Linked DNA regions of Schizosaccharomyces pombe. The gene in region 1 interacts genetically with each later gene. Each region holds a gene or a part of one and is shown in the gene's direction. Other genes may lie near its edges.

Region 1 (4,022 bases):
ACATGAATTGTGTCCTGCAATGTCTTTTTGCGTGTAAGGACTTGACTATTCCTATGTTACAGGGGAGAGGATTGCTTCAAAATATCAATACCAAAAATCCATTGGGTACCGGTGGAAAAATCACATCTGCTTTCTTTTCCTTGCTTCAAAGTGTCTTATTAAACCATGGTCAGAGATCAATATCTCCAAGGAATTTTTTAGAAATTGTACAGTCATTGAATAGAGATTTCTCCATCGATGGCCAATGCGATGCTCAAGAATTTTTAAATTTCTTTCTTGATAAACTTCATGAAGATTTGAACTCCAATGCATCTCGGTCTCCGATAGCACCGTTGACGGAAGATCAATTAAGTGCCAGAGAAGAACTCCCATTGTCCCACTTTTCACACATTGAATGGAACTTGCATCTCCGGTCTAACAAGAGTATTGTGGTCAACAATTTTGTAGGTCAACTTTGCAGTCGTACTCAATGTATGACATGTGGCCGCACATCTACTACTTTTGCTCCCTTCACATCGCTTGCGATACCGATTGACGATGTCTCCCATGTAGTAAGCCTACAAGAATGCTTATTAAAATTTTCAGCTCCTGAACTCTTGCAAGGGCATGATGGATGGCATTGTCCCGTGTGCAAGGTTCAAAGGTCGGCAAAAAAAGTAATTATGATTTCGAAACTACCTGAATATTTGATCATACAAATTCAGAGATTTAAAATATCCGTAATGGGTCGTAAAAAAATTGATACACCACTTGGATTGAGCTTACAGATTCCAAGTAAAATGCTGGTACCACCGAGTTTCCAATCGGGAATTGGTTATATTCCTAGCAATTATAACCTGTTTGCATTTATCTGTCATTATGGCCAGCTCGAAAATGGACATTATATATCTGATGTACTTTTTAATAATGAATGGTGCCATATTGATGACTCAATTGTTCGAACAGTGGGCGGTATTACTGACTTGAGAGAAGATTTCTCCTCTTCCTACATTCTTTTTTATAAACGCTCAAGTCTGTTGGAGGAGTTTGAAGATAAGTGTCCCAAAATGACTTTGAAAAGAAATGTTAAATAAAACAAAATAAAAAAAGGAAAAATGTTTTCAATAAACCTCAAATATAGTTATTGAATAAATGTTCAACTTAGCATTCATAACCGATATGAATACTTACTTAATGCTGATTACCCAACACAAAAGCTACTCTCGTTATGTTGAACAGAATGCAGGAATTGGATACAAAATTTTTTCATCCTAGAATTTTTTTTAAACAAAGATGGTTTTTTTCTTCAAGATTGATCATATTCTTTTAAGGAAGATTTTGTTCTTAACTTTCCAGACTTTTTCTTTTTAAACACCACTTTGTTTTCATTTGATTCCTTGCTTTCTAGCGATTTGTTTCCCTCGTTTTCAGCTAACTTAGGTACTTTATCTAAGTTTTTTGGTTTTACCCGAAAATGAAATGAAGATCTTTCTTCTTTTTCGATGATCTCTCTGTTTCTTTTCAAAGAGGTCCCTGGTAGAGACTCATTTTTATTAGTAGTTGTTTCCTTGGTTTCTTCATTTTCTTCTTGCTTTGCTAGCAATGTAGGAATATAGCTGGTATGAGTAGTAGAGATGGTGTCAGTCTCCGTAGAACTTGTAGGAATATCCCAATCATCCAAAGTAGCTTTTTTTTTAGAGGGACGTAATTTTGGATGCTCCTTTTTTGGTTTCTCATACGATGCTAGTTCAGATGACACCGCTGAAGCAGTGGTAGCAGTAGCTGATTTTGGTATAGATAAATTCTTCTCAAGTTCCTGCCTTAAAAGGTTGGAACGATGAATATCATCCATTACTTTTTTAATAGCATCCTGATGTTTATAAGTTTGCTCATGGCTCCGTCGCGCAAATGGTGTATCTTTCACGAACTGTACTGTTAGTAGGATTCTATTAATTTCACCACTTTAGAAATAATTTTTGGATGTTATAGAAAAAACTTACTATTTGGCAATATTTACAATAATATTTTGGAATACTTTTCCAGTAATCAGCCATTCTGAATATTAATAGGAGATACGCACTAAATACATACTTAAAACTTATTTACCCATATATTTTTCTCAGGAAACCCACCTTTTAGCATACCGTTATTTAGTAATGACAACAGTTTCAATTACTTTTGACTTGTTGTCGTCTATGCAACCAAGAAAATGGCTGAAAAATCAGAATTTTGTTGGTGAAATTACCTCTCTCAGTTTTGACGACAGTGGAGAGTTGTGCTTGGCGTCGTGTACTGATGATACTTTACAACTGTATAACTGCATTTCTGGAAAGTAAGTACTTCTTAAATTCACTTTTGAAACCTGTTTGGCTAACTGACCATGAACTTCTAGATTTGTGAAATCACTTGCAAGCAAAAAGTACGGAGCACATTTAGGTCGGTTTACTCATCATTCAAATTCATTAATACATGCTTCCACAAAGGAAGACAATACCGTTCGTTATTTAGACGTTGTGACAAATCGGTATCTTCGATATTTTCCTGGCCATAAGCAAACAGTGACTTCAATCGATGTATCACCAGCAGATGAAACTTTTTTAAGCGCTTCTTTAGATAATACTATTCGCCTTTGGGACCTTCGGTCTCCAAATTGCCAGGTATGAGTATAACAATTACTGATAATCAAACTAACTAGGAATACGTAGGGTTTGCTCAATGTTAGTTCACCCGTTGTTGCAGCTTTTGATGCTACAGGACTAATCTTTGCCTCAGTTAGTGAAAGAAAATACAAAATTTCTCTTTATAACATTAAATCATTTGATGCTCGCCCATTTCAAGACATTCCTTTAACATTCCTGCCCCCTCATGTCCGCATTGCAAATGTGGAATTCAGTACTGATGGTAAATATCTATTGCTAACAACTGGAAATGATTTTCATTACGTTATAGACGCTTATAGTGGAAGTGAATTATTAAGAGTTCCTTCAAAGGTTAGCACAAAAACCCAAGATGGAAATTTGACTTATTATGCTTCAGCTTGCATGTCTCCAGATAGTAAATTTCTTTTTACTTCATATGATAATGAGCATCTTTGCATGTATCAACTACCAGAACTGAAACAAACTGTTAACTCGGATCACATTGTTAATTCATTCACCGAAATGGGCCTAGCATCAACTACTCCGACCAGCAATAGTCATTCAACAGAGAACCCGCTAGCTATCATTCCTTCTTCAACATCTAAAAACCTTTTACCAGAAACACCTTCTATTGTTCGCTTTAATCCACGCTTCTCTCAATTAGTTACAGCACATTCTGGAGTAATTTTCTGGACGTAAAATTGTTTTTGTGTCTTAACAAACCACGAAAAAATGAATATTATATTATACTATTATTAAAAACAATTTCATAAAAAAACTTCATAACTATTATTTAAAAGGGGGAAAAAATGAGTCCTCTATTTTAAATGACACCTGAATGACTTAGAAGACTTAAACAAAATAAAAAAAGGTAAAGTAATATTAGTTTTGAATCGAGATTAGGTTCGTAATAAACGCTTCACAAAGTGTCCAAATTTTGAGTTTCTAAATCCATGATGGGAATTCCCCAAATCATAATCAACACACAAGACAATAGTCATACCTGCCATGTTGGTAGCAATTATTATATCAATCGGATGTACAGGAGGTGTTCCATATGATCTGTGACTATGAGGTTTTACTAGATTGTATCCTTCTGCAATTAAACTGCGATCATGTTCCGACTCTTTAGCTTCGACAGCAGTCCTTGCTGGTGCAATGATGGTCGAAGTCAGTCTCTCACTACAAACCTTGAATGTTTCCGTGGGCAAATGGAGAATGACAGAGCGTTTTCTTGATGCATTGATGAGTACCTTGTTGGGAATATGCCATAAAACTACTTCATTAGTATCACTTCCACTAATGATATAACTGTTGTCTTCACTTAAACGAGAAAGTACTCTGCCATTAACACGATGAGCATCACTCAGTTTCAACACTAAAGCGTGAGTGACCGTGTTGTAT
Region 2 (5,208 bases), 610 kb from region 1:
AAAGATATCTCTTTAGATTCAGGCTTGACCAAAGTCAAAGTAGAAAGGTTGGAATGCGAGATTGTATACAAAGGAAGCACTCTATTAAATGTAACCAAAGAATCGTGACAGTCTCTAACGGATATAGAACAATCAAAATAAATAGAAGTTGGGAGGGTTTCGAGAGAAGTTGTTTCCTTACTATTCGTCTTTTTCTTAGAAGAAGATTGCGGTGTTTCGTATGAGCGGCGTTGTAATTCATCTTGAATTTTGTTCTGAAGCGTTTGTTCTTCCTCAAATAAGGCATCTTTCTCCCGTTTTAACCTAAGTTGTAAATCCACTTCCGCTCTCTCTCGATCATGCTTTAGTTGTACCGCACGTTCCTCTTCCAAGCTAGCAAATTGAGAAGAGAGGTCAGACTGCCAATCATTAAGATAGTCCTGCACTATACTGGCAAGTTCAAAAATCATTTCCTCTCCTAGCAAGTCTTTTGCCTTTGTATCTAACTTATCAAGCAAAAATCGAATCTGAGAGTTTAGGACATTTTCTCCATTTTGTAACTTGATCACTGGTTTCACATAAGGATAGCTTCTTCCAAGCTCAATACAAAGATCAAGTTTCGCAATACTTTTAGAGTTTGCACTTCTTGAACATAGATGTATACAATAAACATGGCCGTTTGTAACCTAAGATACCATTGTTAGTAAATGGGTAGTGAACAAACATTAATCATACATTCCAAGCATTCCTAACTTTCAACTCCTCAAAATCATCCATAAAAATGGCTTTGAGGGCCTCAATTTCATTTTCTTGAATTTCCTTGCATAGTTCCAGACGTTTCGCCGCATCCATGAACAGCTTTTACCAACTATTGTTGCCAATAATTTACTAGTTTAATAGGAAGCAAATATATTTATTCACAATTAAACTGTTGGTTGAAAATTCGTCCTGTGTAAACTGGAAGGAAAGAAAGCAAATCAGTTTATATCAGGACGGCAATATAGGACTTGAAAATATAATTATTATCAATTCTATTTCTTTTCTTTCCTCTGAATTGGATTTTTAGATAAATTGCTTGTTTGCCGCGAATTTGCTGGAGGAAGAAGTTTCTCGCTCGTGGTATACTAAAGATGGAAGAACGCAGTATACTGGTATTGTAATGAGTATAGATTGATTTGAGCCGAATAAATGCGATAATCGGCACGGATCATACATTCTTTAGTTAAGATGTAATTTTGAGTTGGATAAGATGAATCAGACTTCAGATCTTCAATCGATAACGAACAGTTGGATATAATGATTATCTGCATTTGTATGCAAAGCGCTTCATTGTTTGAAGTGAAGCGGTCAAAAAGTTTTAACTTTTAATCGCGTTTGGTTAACTTTTCTTCATTGTTTTACCATAATCATGGATTTTTGATTAAACTACAAAGACATACTTCATAACTGATAAAATAGATACACCAGTAAACTATAACAGCGTTTCATATAATGCAATATAATACAAATTTGTAGTTGCATTCGAAATGTTATACCTTTTTTCCTCCTCTCCTTTCTTCATCATGGTCAGGAGAAGTTTGGAAAATGCAAGCACGCTAGCCTGAAAGCTCGAAACCGCGCAAACTACAGTTTATTTTCTAATTTTACTCTTTGTTCAGACTAATAAGTTATTACACTTATAAAAACAACCTATGAAAATGGTGTGAGTTAAAAACTAGAATCCTGCTCGATTACTAGTAATATGGATGGTTTGTATACTGTTGAAAAAGTCAAGGTTAAATTATTGCAAGCTACAGAAGCTACGGCAGTCATTATATTGGAAAGTAAAGCCTCTGATATACTTTGCTAGCATTGTTCATCGTACGTAAAAACGTGGTAAGGGTAGTGCCTTCATCATCGTTGACGAAGTGAGAATTTTCGAATTACTATTAGATTTTTCTCCCTTGCACGAAATTAACCTACAAAATGGAGGCAGCTCAAGCTTTTGAAAATCTCGCAAACCTAGAGCAAGAGTTTGGAAAAGCAGAAATCGAAATATGTATGTTTAATCGATTTTGCATTTTTGTAGCATAAAATTACGTTTTTTATAAAAAATGTGTTAACAATTGCTAATGTATCTTGGTGCTAGTGAAGAAACAAAATGAGCTTTTTCAACCGCTTTTTGAGCAGCGTCGTGATATTTTGAAGACCATTAACAACTTTTGGGTAGTAGTTCTGGAAGCTGCTGGGGATGAAATCAGTATGTAAAATTGTATACTATTATTGTTTTTGTTTAAACATTGTTGAAATTCTAATTAAGTTATTTCAGGCCAGTACATAACACCTGAAGATAGTGTGTTACTTGAAAAACTCGAAAATATTTATGTTGAAAGGTTTAATGAAAAGGAACCAAGGGATGTCCGAATTTCGCTTACCTTTCAACCAAACGAATATCTTCAGGACGACAACCTTACCTTGGTAAAAGAAGTGAGAATTAAAGAGGAAAAAGCAAAGGATGATGAGGGTTTGGAAAAAAAGATAACCAAGTATACTTCGCAACCTGTTGATATACATTGGAAACCAGGAAAGAGTTTATTTAGAAAAAATAAAAAATTACCTCCTAATTTTTTTGACTATTTTCAATGGACCGGAGAGGAAGAGGACGATGATTTTGATGGAGCAACACTCACAATTTTTCTGGCAGAGGATCTTTTTCCAAATGCTGTAAAATATTTTACAGAAGCCATGACCGAAGAAGCGAGTGATGAGGATGAGTCAGTAGATTTGGAGGAAGATGAGGAAGAAGAAGACGAAGAAGACGAAGAAGGGGACGAAGAAAAGCAAGGTACGAAAACAGGTCTTAAAAAAATAAGGCGAAAGCATGAATAGATGATATGATAGATGTCAATGTATTGTAAAACTAACACAAAAATCGCAGAACCACCTTCCAAAAAGTCCAAGAAGTCTAATTAATTTAAGGAACGAGAACACAGACATGAAATTTTTTTTGTCTTCCCAAAGCTCGAGGTTACCTATGGAATGATTGGTTATTCGTTTATTGGGAAGATGGTTCAAAGAATTAAATAATACAATATAAAGATTTAGTTACAGCACAATAACCAATACCAACAATGCAATTAAGATGATAATGAGTACGGTAATACAACATCCAGATTTAGAGTCTGCGCTTGCAATCGTAAAATCTTTCAACCGCTTCATACCCCTGCGAAGCTTACTATTAGTGGTCTCAATGGAATTGTCAAGAGTATCTAACAAGTCAGCCTGTTGACCCAATTCTTCGCCCATCAAAGCTGCCTGCCCACGAATGTTTCCAATCGTGTCGTAAACCCCGTCCAGCATTACGTCTTGTTGCTGATAAAGCTGCTCTTGATATTGTCGATTGACAGCATGATCTTCTTCAGACAAACCAGCTGAGGCACCATTGTCAACAGTATAAGGTTCTGTAGAAACTGGTGTGCTTGGGGCAGCACCCATCTTTAACTGTATATTGTTTAACTCAATATCCAGTTCCGAGACAAATCTCCTTCTCGACTTTAGTTCTTCTTCATCTAACCCAAAATGCTCAGAATTTTTCATCGCTATTTCCACAGCAGCTTTTAAGTCCTTCAATGTTTCGCTTAACTCATCAATGGCGTAAGTAAGCTCAGTATTTGGTGAAAGGACTCCAGAGTTTCGTGCGGCCATAAAAGAATTGTAAAGCTTTCGCACTTGCTCCATTTGATTTGATGCATCCCTATATTTCGAATAAATGTCAGTTAAATAAAATCTTAAAGCAACAAAAGGAATCTATTAAGACATTTCTGGTTCATCATTGCACAACTTACGCTTTGACTTCATAAAAGGGGTCCTCCATGTTGATGATGTAGAGATATGAGCCAATTTTCTACTTGGAAATGCTTTTATAATTTAAAGAAAAATAAGATAATATAAAATAAACGAAGCAAATTCGTATTATCAGGTATGCTGTCTGCAAATACTAAAGTACTGTGCTGATTCAGTCAAGTAACGACTTTACGATAGATAACGCTACCTAACTGCTCACTCAAAGATCACCGTAAACATTGAGTCCTTACAAAACAAGTAATGGAGAATAAATAAGAAAGCAATATCTCAATCTTGTTGAAAAAACAGCAACCTCCCCTTGTCACTATTTTGTTTTGATTCAACCGTATTCCACCGTTGTATGTTAGATTAAATGTAAACATCTAGGTAAATAAAACGTTTTCAATGGCCAAAAGCAATCTTTCATTCTAGCCTTTGTGCTAAAAAATTAATTCTATTGCTAAAAACCTAAGACTAAATGTTTTAAGAGAAACTGAACACAAAGAAAGTCTTGTGAGCTAAAACAGTACGCTATATATCGCTAGCTTGATGTAAACAAAAGACGCGTAGACACTATTAACATGTTATCAAGAACCACAACATGTCTGAAATTATAACGTCTTTGCAAACAGAGCTGAGCAATCGCCATGCTAACATGGTATCTGAAGCAGTATTAGCATTCAGTGAGCATCATGATAGTGCATTGCATTCATATTTTTTGAATGCACGTGTCAAGTACGTCCATAAGTTTCTTCAGCTAATTGACCCAACAATTCAGAGACGTGATTTTAGAAAGCCTAAGAACGACAGAGGAGAAGCTTCGTGCTTTAGATAAATTACAGCTGGATGCTTCGAAAAACCTGTCAAACCTGTTGGTGGAATATAATAGTATAAACGCAGAATTGGAGTCCGTCAATAGTAAGATCTCTTCTATTTCTTCCCAAGAATATGCATTGGAAGAATTTCAGGCACTTTCCCAGAATTTTGAGAAGAATTTAGTTCAGCATCGTCGTAATTCCCAAAATAAGCTCAAATGTGCAATGGAGGTAAACATAAAAACAAATTATATTGTCATATTACTAACCTCAATAAATTTAAAGAAACTAAAGATGATTGAAACCTCAACTCATAAAGCTATTCTCGACAATTTTTAAATTTCAGAGATCTAATGTCATACTGCCTCAAACCAAGCTTGATAATAACGAAGAAAGTCAACTTTCATCAAACACGCTGACATCGTTATATTAAGGTCTAAATGAAACGGCGCTAAATTTGCTTCTGAGCTCTATGAAACATACATAAAGAAAAGATGTTTAAATGCGTAATTTCTGATAAAGTTATTCTTCTTGGATAGCTTTTTGATATTTACTACAATTGATATTCTAAATGACTTATTATCTTATTCTC

What was found. A genetic interaction does not mean that the proteins touch.
Region 2: mutations in swd2 (region 1) and ccp1 together harm fitness more than expected from each alone (negative genetic interaction), as found in Schizosaccharomyces pombe (2 studies listed by BioGRID).

The regions. Positions count from the first base shown.
Region 1 is NC_003423.3:1,781,270-1,785,291, reverse strand, and holds swd2 (Set1C complex subunit Swd2.1), read left to right. Parts: upstream 1-2,072; 5' UTR 2,073-2,135; coding exon 2,136-2,311; intron 2,312-2,371; coding exon 2,372-2,636; intron 2,637-2,684; coding exon 2,685-3,317; 3' UTR 3,318-3,347; downstream 3,348-4,022. Other genes in the region: ubiquitin hydrolase Ubp4, read left to right, coding at 1-1,073; wbp4 (WW domain-binding protein 4), read right to left, coding at 1,286-1,906, 1,980-2,033; SPOM_SPBC18H10.05 (WD repeat-containing protein), read right to left, coding at 3,518-4,022. UniProt on the Schizosaccharomyces pombe protein: The Set1 complex specifically methylates 'Lys-4' of histone H3.
Region 2 is NC_003423.3:2,392,298-2,397,505, reverse strand, and holds ccp1 (CENP-A histone disassembly chaperone Ccp1), read left to right. Parts: upstream 1-1,924; 5' UTR 1,925-1,944; coding exon 1,945-2,017; exon of another isoform or gene 2,018-2,107; coding exon 2,108-2,218; exon of another isoform or gene 2,219-2,287; coding exon 2,288-2,803; exon of another isoform or gene 2,804-2,896; coding exon 2,897-2,931; 3' UTR 2,932-3,063; coding exon of another isoform or gene 3,064-3,712; 3' UTR 3,713-3,803; coding exon of another isoform or gene 3,804-3,832; 3' UTR 3,833-3,937; exon of another isoform or gene 3,938-3,948; intron 3,949-3,999; 3' UTR 4,000-4,034; downstream 4,035-5,208. Other genes in the region: eIF2 alpha kinase Gcn2, read right to left, coding at 1-665, 715-831; tlg1 (SNARE protein Tgl1), read right to left, coding at 3,064-3,712, 3,804-3,832; protein mug20, read left to right, coding at 4,403-4,536, 4,580-4,847, 4,902-4,955.